Drosophila melanogaster: one gene and its partners. Changing the gene in region 1 together with any one later gene gives a genetic interaction. Each region holds a gene or a part of one and is shown in the gene's direction. Other genes may lie near its edges.

What was found. A genetic interaction does not mean that the proteins touch.
Region 2: of mei-P22 (region 1) and Brca2, changing one suppresses a phenotype caused by changing the other (phenotypic suppression), as found in Drosophila melanogaster (one study listed by BioGRID).
Region 3: of mei-P22 (region 1) and spn-B, changing one suppresses a phenotype caused by changing the other (phenotypic suppression), as found in Drosophila melanogaster (2 studies listed by BioGRID).

What each region holds. Positions count from the first base shown.
Region 1 is NT_037436.4:7,241,950-7,246,644, forward strand, and holds mei-P22 (meiotic P22), read left to right. Parts: upstream 1-2,438; coding exon 2,439-3,434; downstream 3,435-4,695. Other genes in the region: Neos (neosin), read left to right, coding at 1-347, 411-1,104; mRpL50 (mitochondrial ribosomal protein L50), read right to left, coding at 1,256-1,685, 1,745-1,854, 1,911-1,940; Cdc27 (cell division cycle 27), read right to left, coding at 3,883-4,695. UniProt on the Drosophila melanogaster protein: Required for formation of the mei-W68-mediated double-strand breaks (DSBs) that initiate meiotic recombination.
Region 2 is NT_033778.4:24,524,232-24,530,830, forward strand, and holds Brca2 (BRCA2, DNA repair associated), read left to right. Parts: upstream 1-1,940; 5' UTR 1,941-2,069; coding exon 2,070-2,814; intron 2,815-2,874; coding exon 2,875-2,946; intron 2,947-3,005; coding exon 3,006-5,104; 3' UTR 5,105-5,322; downstream 5,323-6,599. Other genes in the region: CG4612 (uncharacterized protein), read right to left, coding at 87-311, 543-1,241. UniProt on the Drosophila melanogaster protein: Involved in and required for double-strand break repair by meiotic and mitotic homologous recombination. During meiosis, has a dual role in the repair of meiotic double-stranded breaks and the efficient activation of the meiotic recombination checkpoint.
Region 3 is NT_033777.3:14,326,242-14,330,857, forward strand, and holds spn-B (spindle B), read left to right. Parts: upstream 1-1,809; 5' UTR 1,810-1,969; coding exon 1,970-2,024; intron 2,025-2,084; coding exon 2,085-2,246; intron 2,247-2,307; coding exon 2,308-2,651; intron 2,652-2,704; coding exon 2,705-3,169; 3' UTR 3,170-3,367; downstream 3,368-4,616. Other genes in the region: Afti (aftiphilin), read right to left, coding at 1-40; ATPsynE (ATP synthase, subunit E), read left to right, coding at 1,050-1,295; NK7.1, read right to left, coding at 3,983-4,616.

The sequences.
Region 1 (4,695 bases):
AACCTGCCGGTTTGCACGCGCGAGGAGCTGGTGAGCATTTGCCAGCCATATGGCAAAGTGCTCGGTTCGATGGTCCAGAAGAACTACGGATTCGTGCAGTTTGAAACGGAGGAGCTGGCCAATAAAGCCGCCTCCGCCCTGCACAAGTCCACTTTTAAGCAAAACATGCTCACCGTACGCAACGCCAGCATTAAATCGAAGGCGGCCAATGCTATCGCCAAAAGAAATTCAAATCAAGGAGGCCAGGTGACAGTTCAGGGTGGACTTGTGATGTCAGCGGCGGCAGCGGCAGCAGGTCAACCCCTCATCAATGATTGCGAGATCATAGTCCAAAATCGCGAGAATACGTAAGTTATGATCCCCAATACCTTATAACTCCAGACGATACTCATGGCTTTCATTACCTGCAGCAAATACGCAGAATACATTGAGGAGCGGCTAAAGAATTCCAGTCTGCGCGTGGATGTACTCTTTCCCAACGAGGACGTCTTGCTAGGCAAGGTCCTGGCCAACATCTCTTCGCGCGGCTGCTTGTATGCGGTATTGGTCACGCCGCAGCACGAGGAACACAACAGCATCACAGTAAACATTTTGTATGGCGTACCCGCTGAGCATCGCAACATGCCGCTGGAGGACGCCATCACCCTGATCTCCACCGATTTTAGGCTCAAAAAACAGCGCGACGCTGTCGTCTTACCGCCGTCAACATCCATACACAAGGGACAGCGACGACATCCCCAGGAAATGCAGGGGCTGCTGGAAAGGCTGGCAGACAATCATCCATTGACCGCGTCGCAGTACGAGGTGATTCTTAAGTACCTCGAAGGCGAACGCGAGGAGCAACTGAAGCGAGAGGTGGGCGAGGCCAATGCTCTGGCCAAGCTAAAAGCTCCCGATCCAGAGATCGAGCTGCAGAAGAAGATTCTTAGCATCATGAACAAGCCGGCAGTAACCGATGTCACCAGCGAGCTCATGTATCCCACTTTCGAGGCAGTCAAGGAGGACAGAAGGCTAATGGAGCTACTTGCTGACGATCGAGTGTTGGCGGCCCTGGAAAGTGTTTACAACTCGGATCTCAGACAGATTTTAGCCGAGTATTTATAGACTACCAATACTTAGTAGTATTCATTAATTTTAGCCATTAAGCATATTTAACATTTAATAAATGTAATACCTAATATATATGACGTAAATCTCGGGCTTCCAGAATGCATTTAATAAGTGTAAGACATTAACAACTAACAATTGGCTGTTTCTAAGGCCAGGATCGCTTGGCTTCGTGTCCCTCGTACTTTCCACGGTACTTGAGACCGGTGACTAGGGTGGAGCTCTTGGGGAAAGCCGTTTTGCCGTCGAATTTGGTATCTGTCTCGGGATGGAATCGCACGTACTCGTACTGGATGTGCAAATTCTCCGGCAGCTCGATGCGCTTCAGTGCATCAAACGGCACGGTGGTGTCCACAGCTGTTTGGTAGAAAGCGATAACATCGCTGACGGTGCGCAGTTCATGTACCTGGGAGTTGGGCACTCCGTGCTGCAGCTCCTGGAAGCACGCGTTCAGGAATTCGAATTTCTCGGAGAGATTCCCCAACTGGTCGGATTTCAGTTGAAGCGAGGCGGCTACGGTTCGAATACGTTCGGCGGCATCTGCAGGTGGGGAGTACGGCTTATGGGGACGCAAGAAGCTACAATCAGGAGAATATTTACTTGGTTTTTATGTAAATAAATTAAAGAAAGTGCTTACCCCTTGGCGGCGATGGACTCGCCGACAGCTGAAATGGTGCTGGTTTTGACGGGCTTTGCTTTTGCGGCCTTGGCGGCGGAGGCAAAACTCCTATGCAGGCTTCCCGCAAGCTAAATTCATGGTGGCATTGGATTTTAAGTGAACATTTTTATTATTTTTTACTTACAATTAGGGTTTTACGTAAAATCGCTGCCATTGGATGTGACCAGATTGAAAACAATGCGGCATGGCAGTCAATACTGAAAATATATTCACTATACTTACAGGTAAGGAGATGGTAACACAAAAATACTGCATTGAGCGTTGCCAGGTGGACTCACTGTTTACCCACTGTTAAATTTATAAACAAACTTAAAAAAAATGAAAACATTATGAGTATTGAGTTATTTTTAGTCGAAGATCTATCTCATAATAGTCTTTCTTGAAACAAATTTTAGTTTAAGCAACAATAAGTGATAGGATTTTATTTTAAAAATATATTACCTCATCAATTTCAATTTAAATCTAAATTCGACATAACTTTACGAACGATAACTTTATTAAATTGCGTGGCAGCTCTAAGCTTTTGTCGATAATAAGGTCCTGTTATTCAATTGATAAGTCCTGCTATCGCGCCAACTGTTATTTTTTTATAATTTTGCATTGAATAATAGTTTTAAACTACATTGGTGTTCTTTATGTAGTATAAAACAGTATGGACAGGACAACAGTTGTCCCGAGTCCGGCCTCCACCTACTGCTCCTTTATGGGTGGCTCCCAGCACTCCCCATTGCGGCGATCACAGCGCCTCATCGACAAGGAAAACCGGGATCTGCAGAAGATTCCGCCCAAAAGTCTTTCTCCTCAGTTATTTGGAAACACTGAAGATGATTACAGTGAACTATTGTTGCAGCAAGGGAAAGTGGTTCACCTGAAGCCTGCAGCTAAGTTGGTGCCCGTGAGATCCTCGGATAATCTAGTCCATCTTGGATCCCGGGATAAAGTTGTCCCCTTGAAAACTTCCAATAGAATCGTTCACCTGAAGCCTCCATATAAGATTATCCACCTCAAAAGTTTAGATGAAGTTGAAAAGACCGTAAAGAAGAAGAATAATATTCAGAAAGAAGTTCATCAAAGGAATTCACAAAGGAGAAGCATTCAATGCACTCCCAAAAAACGTGGTCGAAAACCAAAGCAACCGGCTAAGAAACTGCAGTCAAGAATTTCCACCGATCAGCTAGGAAGCACACCATCGCCATCCAAGCTGCCTGCCAAATATCCCGCCCATTTTGTTCATCAACTTCCGCCCGCTGAGGATTCCAGCTGTGCCACTCGAAGACGATCCTTATCTGCTCCAGCTATGCAACTTAGCGATCTAAGCCTCACACCCGATGAGATCCAAACTCCGGAGCGGCGCGGTGAAATCGTAAACAAATCGCCATCGGATCTCGACTCCGATGTCTCCTTGAACTTCTCGCTGTCCGATTCCATTGGCGAGATCTTCGGCACCAAGGACATCAGCAGCATTCTGACCATGCAGCGGCCGCGTCAGTACATTTTGCTGGAGGAGCATCTGCCCACACTGGCCACCATGTTGAACGTTGACTTGGAGCGACTGCGCTGCGTGCTGGATATCACTCAGGGCTTGAGCCACGAGCAAATCCTGCGCTTTCCGATAAAACATGAAGAGGATGAATTGGAAGTACCTTAGATATGATGGGGAACTTATAGCAGTAGTATAATGTTTTCACTTTGAATAGTTTTAATGTCCAAGTCCAACATATTTAATTCCCATAAGATCCTTGTTGCTTTAACTTAACATTTAAAATGTATATCTCCCTTTTTTTTTGTATATTTTTAAGTGGTATTTAATTGTTGTTGTTTTTTGTTGTTGTTGTTTCTTTTTCGTTATTTTGCCTTAGACTTTCAGAGTGCACAATTTTTGTTTAAACCATTTACTTTTTTGTATATTTTAAATTACTAATGCTAAACGTTATCTAGACTTTATCATACTTCATAATTGGTTTCCTTTCCTCCACGACAATACAGCAGCAATCGATCGGGGTTTTTTTTTGTATCTGTTACTAAGTTTTCTTTTTTGTTTACTGTGTTTCTCATTTAACGTATATACAACCGCGTGAATTTGGAGTTGCAGCTCCCTAGTAGTCGCTGTCGTAGCTTCCGTCCTGCTGCGCCTGCGTCGAGTCATCGGAACGCTCCGAAGTGGGCTCCAGATCAACGTCCAGGGCCGTAGTGTTGGCCGGACAGCAGCTGGGATGAGCCATTGAGTCGAAGGCATCTTTGATTTGATTGTTGGCACCTTTGGGATCTAGGTCGGTGGCCCAGCTGAAGTGCATCAGCGCCAGATCCATGTTGCCGAGCGTCTTGTGGATTTTGCCGATCAGATAGAACACCACCGACTCCTTGGGCACGACTTCCTTGAGCTCCTCCAGTTCGCGCAGCGCCTCCTGGTACTTGCCCAGCGAGAAGTAGATGGAGCCGCGATGGAATCGCGTCAGCGGGTTCTTGGGGTCCAGCGTGGCGGCCGTGTTTAGCGTCTGCAGCGACAGATCCTTCTTCTTCATGTAGAATTGCATGGCGCCGATGTGCACGAGAATAACCGAGTTCTGTGGATTGATTTTCAGCGCCTTCACGTAGTGAATCTCAGCCAGCTCGTATTTCTCCTGCTTGGAGTAGATGGTGCCGATGCCGTACCAAGCATTGTAATGCCGCGGATCTCTAACCACTGCTGCACGGAAGTAGTCCATGGCCTTATCAAATTCTTCGGTGAGTACGAGTTCGTGGCCCAACAGTGTGTAGCTGTAGACGAAGTCTGGATCCACTTGGACAGCCCGCTTGAAGAACTTGATCGCGGTTTCGTGCTCCTTTTGCAGCGAAAAGCAATTGCCGGACACACACCAGGTAACCGGGCTGGTTTTGTCCTGGTTAATCAGATCCTGGGCGAGAGCTGA
Region 2 (6,599 bases), on another chromosome or scaffold:
GTTTATATATGGGTGTGTATTGTATGTGTGTGGGTTCCAAGTCAACTCCTAGCGATGTCCTTGGATCAGCTGCCGCCGCCGAAGCCTTAGTAGTAGAATATCTGGCCGGCCTTCTGCCGCTTGCGCTCCTCCAGCTTGCGATTGATCTCCTGCTGCCGCTCGGCCTTGCTGAGGGCTCTTGCCACGTACAAGAACTTGTTGTCGCCCAGCTGCTTGCCGTGCAGGCCAATTACGGCGGCCAGCGCCGACTGTGGGTTCTCGTAGGCGACGAAACCGAAACGCCGGGAGCGCCCCTCCTCGTCCAGCATGAGCTGCAAGGATCGGAGAAAGCAAATCGATGATATAAACAAATTAGCACAGATGGGCCAGGTGGAGTCCTCATCTTCCCCGCCGTCACAAACTCCTCGTGGCTACATGGGCATGCGCAGCAATGGCGCAAGAGAGGACTTAAGAGAGTGCAAAACTGTGCCACATGGTTGTCGTCCAACCACCCGGCCCCACGAACATCCCCGTAGGGAAGATGAGGTGACCAAACAACGTACCTTGTGACTGGTGATGCGGCCGTAGGGCTCGAACATCTCGCGCAAATGCTGCTCGGTGAACTCCTCGCTGAGGTTCTTCACATACAGATTCTTGAAGTGCGTGGCCTTCTCCTGCTCCCGGTCCCGCCGTGGTATGAACTTGACCACATGCACCTTCTGATTATTGCACAGCATCCCATTCACCTTCTCGATGGCCGCTCGGGCGGCCTCCTCCGAATCGAAATGCACAAACCCATAGCCGCGTGAATTGCCATCCTCGTCTTTGGCCACATTGCAGTTTAGGATGTTTCCGAACACCGAGAACGTGTCGTACACCGCCTTGTTGTCGATGGACCGCTCCAGGTTCTTGATATAGATCTTGCCACTGTCCGGAGAGCTGTTGCCTCCGCTGCCCCCAGTGGAGCCGCTAGCCAGAGCTCCCCCGCCGACTCCCACGCCCACATTGGCCGAGTGCGAGGACGTGGACGTGTGCCCGCTGCCCAGGGAGTTGTGGCCATGCCGTCCGAGAACAGCGGCGGCCGCCAGGTGGTTACTGGCTGCGTGCCCACCGCCGACGTGGCTCAGGTGACCAGCTGCAGCGGCGTGGTGGTGCAGCTGCTGCTGGTGGTGCGCCGCTGCCAGCGTGTGGTGGTTCAGGGCCGGCTGCTGCTGGTGGTAGTTCGCCGGATTGCCGCGGAACGTCATGGAGTTGACGAACATAATGGCTGCTGGCTGTTTGTGGAGCGTGGTGGCGGCTAGTGGAGTGCTGTAGGTGCTGTAGGTGGATTCTGCGTCCTGGTGGCCGTGGCTCTGGATCTGGATACCGCTGTAGATGGGCCCGAGAATCTTGACGGCGTTCTTGTCCTGGTCCTAGTATTTCACTTCACTTCCCGATTTACCTGGGATGTCGGGAATCTGCGTTATGGCCAATCTAGTCGTAATCCAGCGGAATGCCCACTTACCAGGATTTGCACACGGAATATGACCAAGGATTCGCGGAGTTGAAAAAATCGTTTTTCTCTCGCACAGACTCTTTTCAACGCTCTTCGCTCTCTCTTTCTTTACCTCTCTGGCTCTTCCTTTCGCTCTTTTGTACTTTACTTTTTCTGGGGGCTTTCACTTTTGGGCTGATTCTTTGGGGCTCTGCTGGGCTTTCGCGTAACACTTTCCGGTATTGTTTTCGAGTGGCACCTAAACTAGACTCTTCAGCAATTGCAGCAGTGTAAAACCTGGTTTTTGCAGCTTCGGCGATGGCCCTTTATTATTTAATTGTATTTTATGCAAAAACTGTCGCTACTAGTGATTAGTGATGTTAAAAAACATCGATGCATCTGCCATCGATACGTGAGGCCTTCATGTTCTTGGCCATACCATCGATGACTTTCTCGCTCCCGATTGCTTAGCAAGTCCACCCTCCACAGTTAGCGGATAATGGCCATCAAAGCAACGCTTACCAACACTGCACCCCTTGTTTTGGAAATGCAACCACAAAAGCATTGGACACTTGCTTACTTCAAATAAAACACATTTAAACAATTAGATGACGTGATGGACCAGAATGGCGCATCGGGAAGTCATCCGAACAGGCTATCCCAAGGAAGAGGAGCCCATGCGCGCGAACGTGGCGCCACAGTTTCCGCGGCGGCAAATCGGAGTAACATTATCGACGAAATGGCCAAAATATGCGAAGCCGATCGCCAGACTTTCGCCATCGCTCGACGGACTCGGGGTCACGAGCGGCTTGCGGTGGACAACAGCGACTTCGTCGCCGTGGAGGATCTTATTTTGTCCTACGCAGAGCCCACGCCCGAGGACCAGGTCGAGATGATCATGAGCGACTTTTGCTCGTCTCCAACATACGCAGAGGATGAGGATGAGCCCAGCCATGAGTCGGAGCCGTGGTTTCGATTTCGCAACAAAAGGATCAGAACCTACAGCCGGAAGAGGGATCCCAAAAGCCACAAGGCCGTTCAAAACGAGAAGCGTAGAGGTTCCTCAGGCCTCTCCGTGCAGAGGGATCTCAATACTTCGTTCACATCTATGGCTTGTGATTTCGATGCTTCATCACAGAAGATACACGAGGTCCTTTTGAACCTCAGTCAATACTTTTCCGCGACCGCGACAGCTTCCGGTCCGACTCCTGTCCCATCGCAAATAGATCTGCCAACCGAAGCAAGGCAGGATTCTGGTGACGAGTGTTTCAACGCTGAATTGGAGAACTTGAGGGATGACCTGTTGCAGAGCGGATTTACATTTGAGGCCTCTTTCTATGAAAATGAGCATGAGCAGGAAGGTAGGGAGTGGGATCGATATGGCAAGAAACACATTTGTAACTCCTTTTATATGTACGTAGGTCCAGGAACTATGGCAGACACTATTTATGGCGATAGCATGCAATCGGTTCCCACTACGCGCCTCCGATTGGGTAATTCATATGCAATTTATGTTGTTGCGAAGTTCATTAATATAAACCCTTATTTATAGAAAGTGGAAAACGTAATGTTTGGTCTGATGCAGACTCTACATTGAAAAAAGCTGATGTCGAAATTGCTGAAAATAAGAAACTTTTGATGGGCCAAACGCAAGCAAAAAATGTTGACATAGAGGAGAACACAAACTTCATATTAGAAGGCATACCACTAAGTGAATGGCTAACTCCGATGGAACTGCCCGAGATCTCCAAAGATGTAATCAAACATATACCCGATAAAAAGTTAAAGTTGGAGCCAAGTTCCCAGAAAGAACAAAAAAGTAGCAAAGATTCAAATGCATCAAAGGTTAGAGGAGCCTCAAAACAATCTTGTGATATTAACACGAAAAACGAAGGAACTACTATTCTGGATCAGCCTAATGCTGCAGAGCAAGAAAACCTATTGAACGACGGCGAGCTTCTTGAGGAGTTTCTTTTTAATGATTGGCAACCAATGCAGTGCTCTAATGGCCCATCAACCTCCAAAAACGCAATTCAAGGGCCTAAAGAAAACATCAATTCAATAAATCTGGACGACAAGGAGCAACCAGAAAAGCAGACTCCTAATAAAAGTCAGACCATAAGCAGTCATCAACTTAATGGCATTCGAAAGAAGTCCTTCAAATTTATCGAGGTTTCGGAAGAAATGAAAATTAAAGGCGAAGAGTTTGTAGACAAAGTTGTATCCGGCCTATATCACTTTAGTCACAAGTGCAACTTACGTACTGAGGAATACTCCGATAATCATAGTCAAGTAATGGAATCAACACAGTGTGCGGAATTCAAATCAGCCCCAAGCAAGCCCATCGAAATATTGGATGGTAAGGAAACCTACAATGCAATAGCTAAAGTTGACGTTGGAGAAATAAATGGAAAATTCAGTCCTCTCAATAACGATACTATAGCAGAGCCCGAGTTTTGTGGCTTTCGCACAGCCTCAAATAAGGCAATTCCGATTTCTGAGAAGATGAAAATCAAAACTGCAGAGTTTATGGCTGAGTTTCAATCCAAAGAAACAATTCAACAAAATGATTATTTAGTCCATCAGCCAAATGACAAACCGACGTCTGTTGGACTTGATACAGCCTTAAAAAGATCAATAGAGAGTTCAGAGGAAATGCGATCGAAAGCTTCCAAGTTGGTGGTCGTTGATACTACAATGCGGGAACCGCATCAACCCACACTTGACCCAGTTTGCCGTGACTTAAATGAATCACAGTTTTTCGGCTTTAGAACAGCGTCAAACAAAGCCATTGAGATTACCGAGGCGATGGAGAAGAGAGGAGCCATGTTTCTGGCCCAGTCTAAAGCTACAGACCAATTAAACGGGTGGCAGCCAAGCGATTTTCCTGATGTTCTACCCACCTCTCCAAACAATGAGATTCATTCAATAAATGTTGAAAATAATAAGGCTGTGAATACTAAAACCGTATCTGAGACCGAATTCTTCGGCTTTCGTACCGCTTCAAATAAAGGAATTGTGATTTCGGAAAATACGAAAATCAAAGTTGCACAGTTCATGAGTGAATTTCAAGCCGCCGATGCAAGCACTGACTCGAACCAACCAACTGTGATCTCTGAGGAATCGAGAAATATTGATGCCAAGTTCGTAGATGAAGCGGCGGCAGAAGACAGTGCCAACAAGCCAACTTTTTGCAATGTACAAAGTCTAAAAAATACCTCAGATATTGAGCATTTCAAACACGACTTCTTCGTGGAGCATTCTGCAAAGGAAGAGCATCCGCTGTGTAGCCAGCCATTGGTGAGGACACCCAGAAGGTCGCAGGAGATCCACTCCTCACTATCGCAACTTGCCGGCAAATCACCACTGGACCAGGCCACCAAGAAGTCCGTAATAGCTCGCCGGAACCTCCTGTCACTAAAAAGAAAGCGAAAGATCATTTTGTCAACTGAAACTTCCACTTCCTGCGCCTTACCCACTATGGAGCGATTCGCTCCCAAGCCTTCCTCGACAAGTACTCCGCTGGCCGACAGGGACTTAAATCGCTCCAAGGACTGTACAAAGAATAGACAGGATGCGGAGGACATGTCCCCTATTTGCATGCAACCCAAAAAGAGTCGAAGACTTGGTCTGAGTCGAAGTCGCTATTAGTACACATTAAGTAAGCGTTGCTTTATACCCAAAATATTTAAACCGCTGGCCGATTTGAAATGGGTAGAGATTTAGTTGAATTAATTAAGGTATGCCATTAGTGGTCTCATCATGACAGATTGAATAATTGTATAAGTTATCATAATAAGCGTTTTTTGTTAAGTGCACCTTATAAGGAAATAAACGATCCGATAAGGGCCACCCGCTAACCAACTTCCTTAAAGGTGCCCACTTACGAGTTCCGCGAAAAAAACGAGAAGAGACGAAATCAGTCCCACAGTTCACAAAACAAATGCGAAAAAGTAGTAGTCCAGGTCGAATGCCTTAGCCGGCGGCTCATCATCGCGCATCAAGGTATAGATTCCCTGATGGATGAGCTCCCGGAAAGTGTCCGCCTTCATTTTGATGCTGATCCCGTGCTCCTGCAGGCGCCTCATGAACTCACTGGTCATCGCCAAGTACGGCAGACTGTTGGACACGCAGTAGGATTCGAGGGTAAAACCCACGGCCTGGCGAATCATGTTGAAGCGCGGCGTCTTCAGCAGGTACTGCTGCATCAGGATCAGCTCCAGGCGGTCCTCGTACAATATGTATATGTAGCTCTGATTGAGCCCATCCCGGTACGCCTTTAGCAGGGTGGCGTTCAAGCTCAAGCTGTTCCTGCGGAGCCGTTCGGGCAGGAAGGTTTTCGCCTTCATCTGACTTCTGTAGTACTCGTCGTGCAGACTGGGGTAGGGAGCCCTGGCCAGATCCTCCAGAGTGTTGTACTCCTCGTCGTACAGCCCGGATGTGAGGATGCTGGAGAGCGTGGCCAAGTAGACGTTGGTCAGTATAAAGCCTCCGATCGTTAGAATGCCATGGATGGCCACGTCCCTCCAGCCAGCAACTCTGATTTTCTGGTGGCAGTTGTATAGGATGTGGCTGAGGCTGTACAGCAAGCACTTTCCAATCTCGACTCGTGCTCCTCGCGCAGCCAGATGCAGCATTACGGTTCCGTACAAGACAGTCGAAATCACGACCGCCCAAAGGGTCCAGCCGAAGGGCTTGGAGTAGTACAGATAACTGGAAATCGGACGGGCGTGGGGAGCCATGAAGTACTCGCGGATAATCGAAAGTGGTGCTGTGTAGGCCACTTCCAAGCTGAAATCTTTGAAGTAGCAAACAATGTCGATCTTTTTTGTATGTAGCATTTCAGCAACGGCCAAGTATACATCATATTCCGGCAGATCGGGTATGGGTACACTCTCGATGGTGGCGTTATAGCGATAAGTCAGCTCCTTGACCGCTGTGAACAAATATCCTGCTCGCACCAAGCCACCCTGTTCGTTGGAGTACTCAAAGTCCCGAGGAGCTAATGTGCTTCGAAGTATGCGGACAGGAAAGCCTTGAAAGTTTCGAATTATCCTTGCGCGATCGAAATACTCGGACACATTTGATAGGCTGATCGGTTGAATGCTAGGATACGGTAGGTAGCTGTAGAGGCCCTTTCCGCTCA
Region 3 (4,616 bases), on another chromosome or scaffold:
GCGGGGGGGTGCTGCAGAGCAGCGGTGGTACATTCACCATAATGCCAGCTGCAAAATTCAGTAAAAGGATCCCCTAAAATTCACTTCCTGCTTCAAGAAGAACAACAAAAACGCTGGGAACGGTTCGATCTTCTATCTCTCTCGCTCCACTTTATCACTGTGTGTGTGGTGTGTATGTGTGACGCAGGTGTGGAGGGCCTGCAAGTGTGTGTGTGTGTGTTAGCCACTCAAGGTCTGTGTTGGAATTTTCTTGTTTGCATTTAACACGCGTCAATTTTGTTGTGTCTCTGTATTATGTCTAATTGTCGCCTTATTGGTGGCTCTAAAAACAGATTTGCCGAATTTGCAAGTCGCGTTTTATCTGCAATTAGCCATGTTTTCCAGAAAACAATACTTTTTCCTCTGCCCACAGTGTGAACGTTTAACTTTTGGCCAACCGACAGTGCTGAAAAACGTTGCGCAACATTGATAACATACAAAATTTGAATCTTATCTTTTTCAATTCCCATTTTCGATTTAAATCATTATCCATAGTTCAGATAGAATAGTTATATTAGTTATATTTCTATAATAGATTTTTATTCTTTCCAATTCTTTTACCGTTAAAATTGTATTTGAAAATTATTAGTAACAAGAGTAAAATATACATGAAAGTCTAGGCTGCAGTATGTAATACGTCAAATTTTGTTGGGACACTAAACAACAAATAGTCGTCATAAAGGCTTCTTTTAAATTGTTATGATATTTTCCACAATTTCTGCATACTTTTTTAAGCTTGCTGGCAACGCCGCCACCGTACCAATACAACTATCGATAGCCGCCTGTCAGTTTTGACAGCTGTTTTAAGGTTATACTGCGCTGCCGTTGCAATCGCTCCACCAATTTGGTAATTTTGCTTATTTAACATCAAATATTGCATAAAACTAGGAAAACCAGGAATCTGTAAAGTGGAGCGAGACGGGGAACGCTATTAAGGAAGTCGGATAACTAAAGTACATCCTTTTCTTGCAGTTCACGGTCGGACAATTACATAACTTGAAGAAGAAACCATGTCGCAGGCTCCCGTTCGCGTTTCCCCGCTGATCAAGTTCGGCAGATGGTCCCTGCTCCTGGTGGGCATTGCCTACGGCGCCGCCCACCAGAGCCGCCTGTCCAAGAAGGAGGAGAAGTTGCGCGAGATCGAGGCACAGCAGAAGGCCGTCCGTGATGCCAAGCTCGCCGAGGAGAAGAAGCGCAGCGCAGAGGCTGAGGCCCGTGCCTTGGCTGAGCTTTCGAAGCCCACTCCCAAGCACTAGGATCCTTCAGGATGCAACATCCGCAGTTCCCTTAGCTTAAAAACATTGAAAAACCACAACATTTACACACGAAGTTCGCCCAAAAGGAGGAGCATCATCGATAGTGGAGCCACCATCTATCGATCACTGACTATCGTTTTTGTGTTTTCCTCTGATGCTTGTGCAAAAAACAGAATGTTCGAAATTAAATGATTGAAACAAAACCATTATGTAAATACTCTCAAGTGTTTCGTGTTTGTGATTAAGTGGTGTTCACTGGAAATATATTTATATTAGCATAGTGTTTGGATAGGAGAGGATTGAGAGAATTTGAGAGGGTTTGAGCTCCAAATTTGACTAGGAAGTACATATAAATATTTTTGCAAATTGATTATCAATAATTTTCCTAAATTTTGTTTTAAATCTTTTTTGATAAACAACAACTGATAGTTTACCTTATTGGATGCCCACTGTAGTTGCCAGCTGATTGGCCCACTTAAGATATTGGCGCCAACAGCTGATTTCAACCGGCGTTTATTTACACTTTCAATTCGCTCGCAAGTCGTCGCATGGCTCGGCTGTTTGATCAATAATCCCCCGGAATACTTCCAATTCCGGAGGTGTTGAGACACCTTTCGTGTTTCGGGGAGCCATTATATCACGCAATCCCATCGAGGACATGCCATCGCATCGCGATGACAAACTTTCTGGATCAATTGCCCAAGCATATCAGAGAAATCGCCGAGCAGGGTAAGAGTTTTGGGGTTCCAACAACTTTATTCAAGAGCCAACTAAATTCCTGTACTCCAGTTAATGTTCTCGCACCGGAGGAGGTGCTGACAACTCCCAAGGTGCGATTCCTGGACACCCGCCAGCAATCGCTGCACACAATCGTGCGAAAATGCACTCCGGATGATGTTAGGGTGCTCAAGGATGCGGCAGCCAAGTGGCTGGCAGAGATGCCCCAGTCAGGTGATTCTCAGACTAATGTATAAGTAGCCTCTTGTGTTTAGTTTGCCACTATTTATTACAGCGGATTCCCTCTTCAAGCCGCTTGTCAATGTTAGATGGTCGCGGGTGTCGTTTGGATGTTCCGCTTTAGATCGCTGCACGGGCGGGGGAGTGGTCACTCGTGGAATTACAGAGCTATGTGGAGCAGCCGGCGTGGGCAAGACCCAGTTGCTTCTTCAGCTATCCCTTTGTGTCCAGCTACCCCGTGAGTTGGGTGGCTTGGGCAAAGGCGTGGCCTACATATGCACGGAGAGTTCCTTTCCGGCGAGAAGATTGCTGCAGATGAGCAAAGCCTGCGAGAAGAGGCATCCCGAAATGGAGCTGAATTTTCTGGGAAACATCTTTGTGGAAAATCACATTGAGGCAGTGAGTCGACAAACCAATTTGTAGCCATATGCTTATTTAATATTAATCCAAAGGAACCTCTCCTGGCGTGCGTTATAAACCGCATTCCGCGACTGATGCAACAACATGGCATTGGCCTGATCATTATTGATTCTGTGGCCGCCATATTCCGGCTGTATAATGATTATCTGGAACGAGCGAGACATATGCGTCGACTGGCAGACGCTCTGCTCAGCTACGCGGATAAGTACAACTGTGCCGTGGTCTGTGTGAATCAGGTGGCCACCAGGGACGGTCAGGATGAGATTCCCTGCTTGGGATTGCAGTGGGCGCACCTAGGACGCACTAGACTGCGTGTTTCCCGGGTGCCCAAGCAGCATCGCATGGGTGATCAACTGATAACGGTGCGCAAACTGGAAATACTTTACTCACCAGAGACTCCCAATGATTTCGCCGAGTTTCTTATCACCGCAGAAGGTGTGGTCAATGTTCCAGAGCCATCTGTTCCCAGCCCACCCGCCAAAATGCGTCGACTGTGATTGATTGAATTTATTCTGTTTATTTTGTTATCGTTTAATTTGTTGAATTTAAAATGTGTAACGGCGGAGCGTTCAATTAGCCATACGATTGTCTTATACTCCTGTTAAATTCAGCGGAATATTTTAGGGTTTAATAATTTAAATTTACTTAGTTGCCAATCAGGTTTAGGTATCATTAAAATATATAAAAACAAATTTAGAAAACATGCTTTTCTTATTTCTTTTCAGGAACAAAAGGTTTTCTGATGACCTGATTAACACGATAACGCAATCTTGTTTCAATTTTTTTTTTAAATAAATGTAAAGTTCCGATAAATTTAACCCGAGTTTAAGCCATTTTCCGGGCATAATCATCTTATTTGTTGCCTTAATTCCTTTTTTGTACAAACACTCAATAAATATGTTTCATTCAATTGCAATTTACAGGGTAGCAGAGCTTACAGGCCTACATACATAGTATAGTTCATAGTTCAAGTAGTAAAATCAATTTTGTAATCGCCTCGTATACATTATCACATGAAATTCTCAAAAGTTCAGATTACAATTTGCCATAGTTTACGCGGACATTTAAATGCGACATTTACAAAAGCCTAGCCTTAGCGTTTAAGTATATTAAATAAATAAAATACAAGCCTAAAGGTGAACGGATTACGCGACAATTAAATTACAATTAAGTAATACAACTATGGGGGTTTTCTTTCTGTTTAGTTTTATTTTTGTTTTTCTTTTGTTTATTGGGATAGTTTATCCTCTTTGTGGATGAGCAATATTCGACTTTTTGGCACAAGTTAATTTGACTGTGGTTTCTTCTGTTTAAATCTCCCGCATGGCGACATCCTGATCCTGGGAATCGTGAGCTTCTATGGAATCGCCATGCTCGCTGGAGGACACCTCCTCCTCCTCCTCCTCTTCCTCGCCGTCTCCATCGCCTTCGCCCTCCGATGAGGAACTTTCGGTTTTGACCCTCTTTTCCGGCTGCATTTGTTTGTTGGCCATGGCCAAGGCAATGGAAATTTTACTCGCGGCCAATTTGCTTTCAAAATCCATTTCCGTTAGCTGGCCATTTTGAATTGCCGCCCTTTGGAGACTTAACTGCAGTTCCCTGTGCTGCGGAGACTCCTCTCGTTTTATGTCCAATTTCTCGGTTTGTTCGAGTGGAGCGGCTGGTTCTACAGTTAAAGGTATGGCATGCTGATGCAAACGCTGGTGTAGCAATTGATTTTCATTACTATTATTTGGCCTTTTTTCGACTGCGGGCTTTTGATCGCTGCTCTCCAATTCTGCACTTCGATGTGCTTGATTAGCCGTTTTAACTGTCTTTTCCAGCAGCGCATTTAACTGCTTTTTAATCTTGGTGGTACTCTGTTTGGCGGGCACTTTTCCCTCGCTGTTATTAACATTGTTGTTTAACGTATTGTTGTTGTTATTGTTACTGCCGCGATTTGGA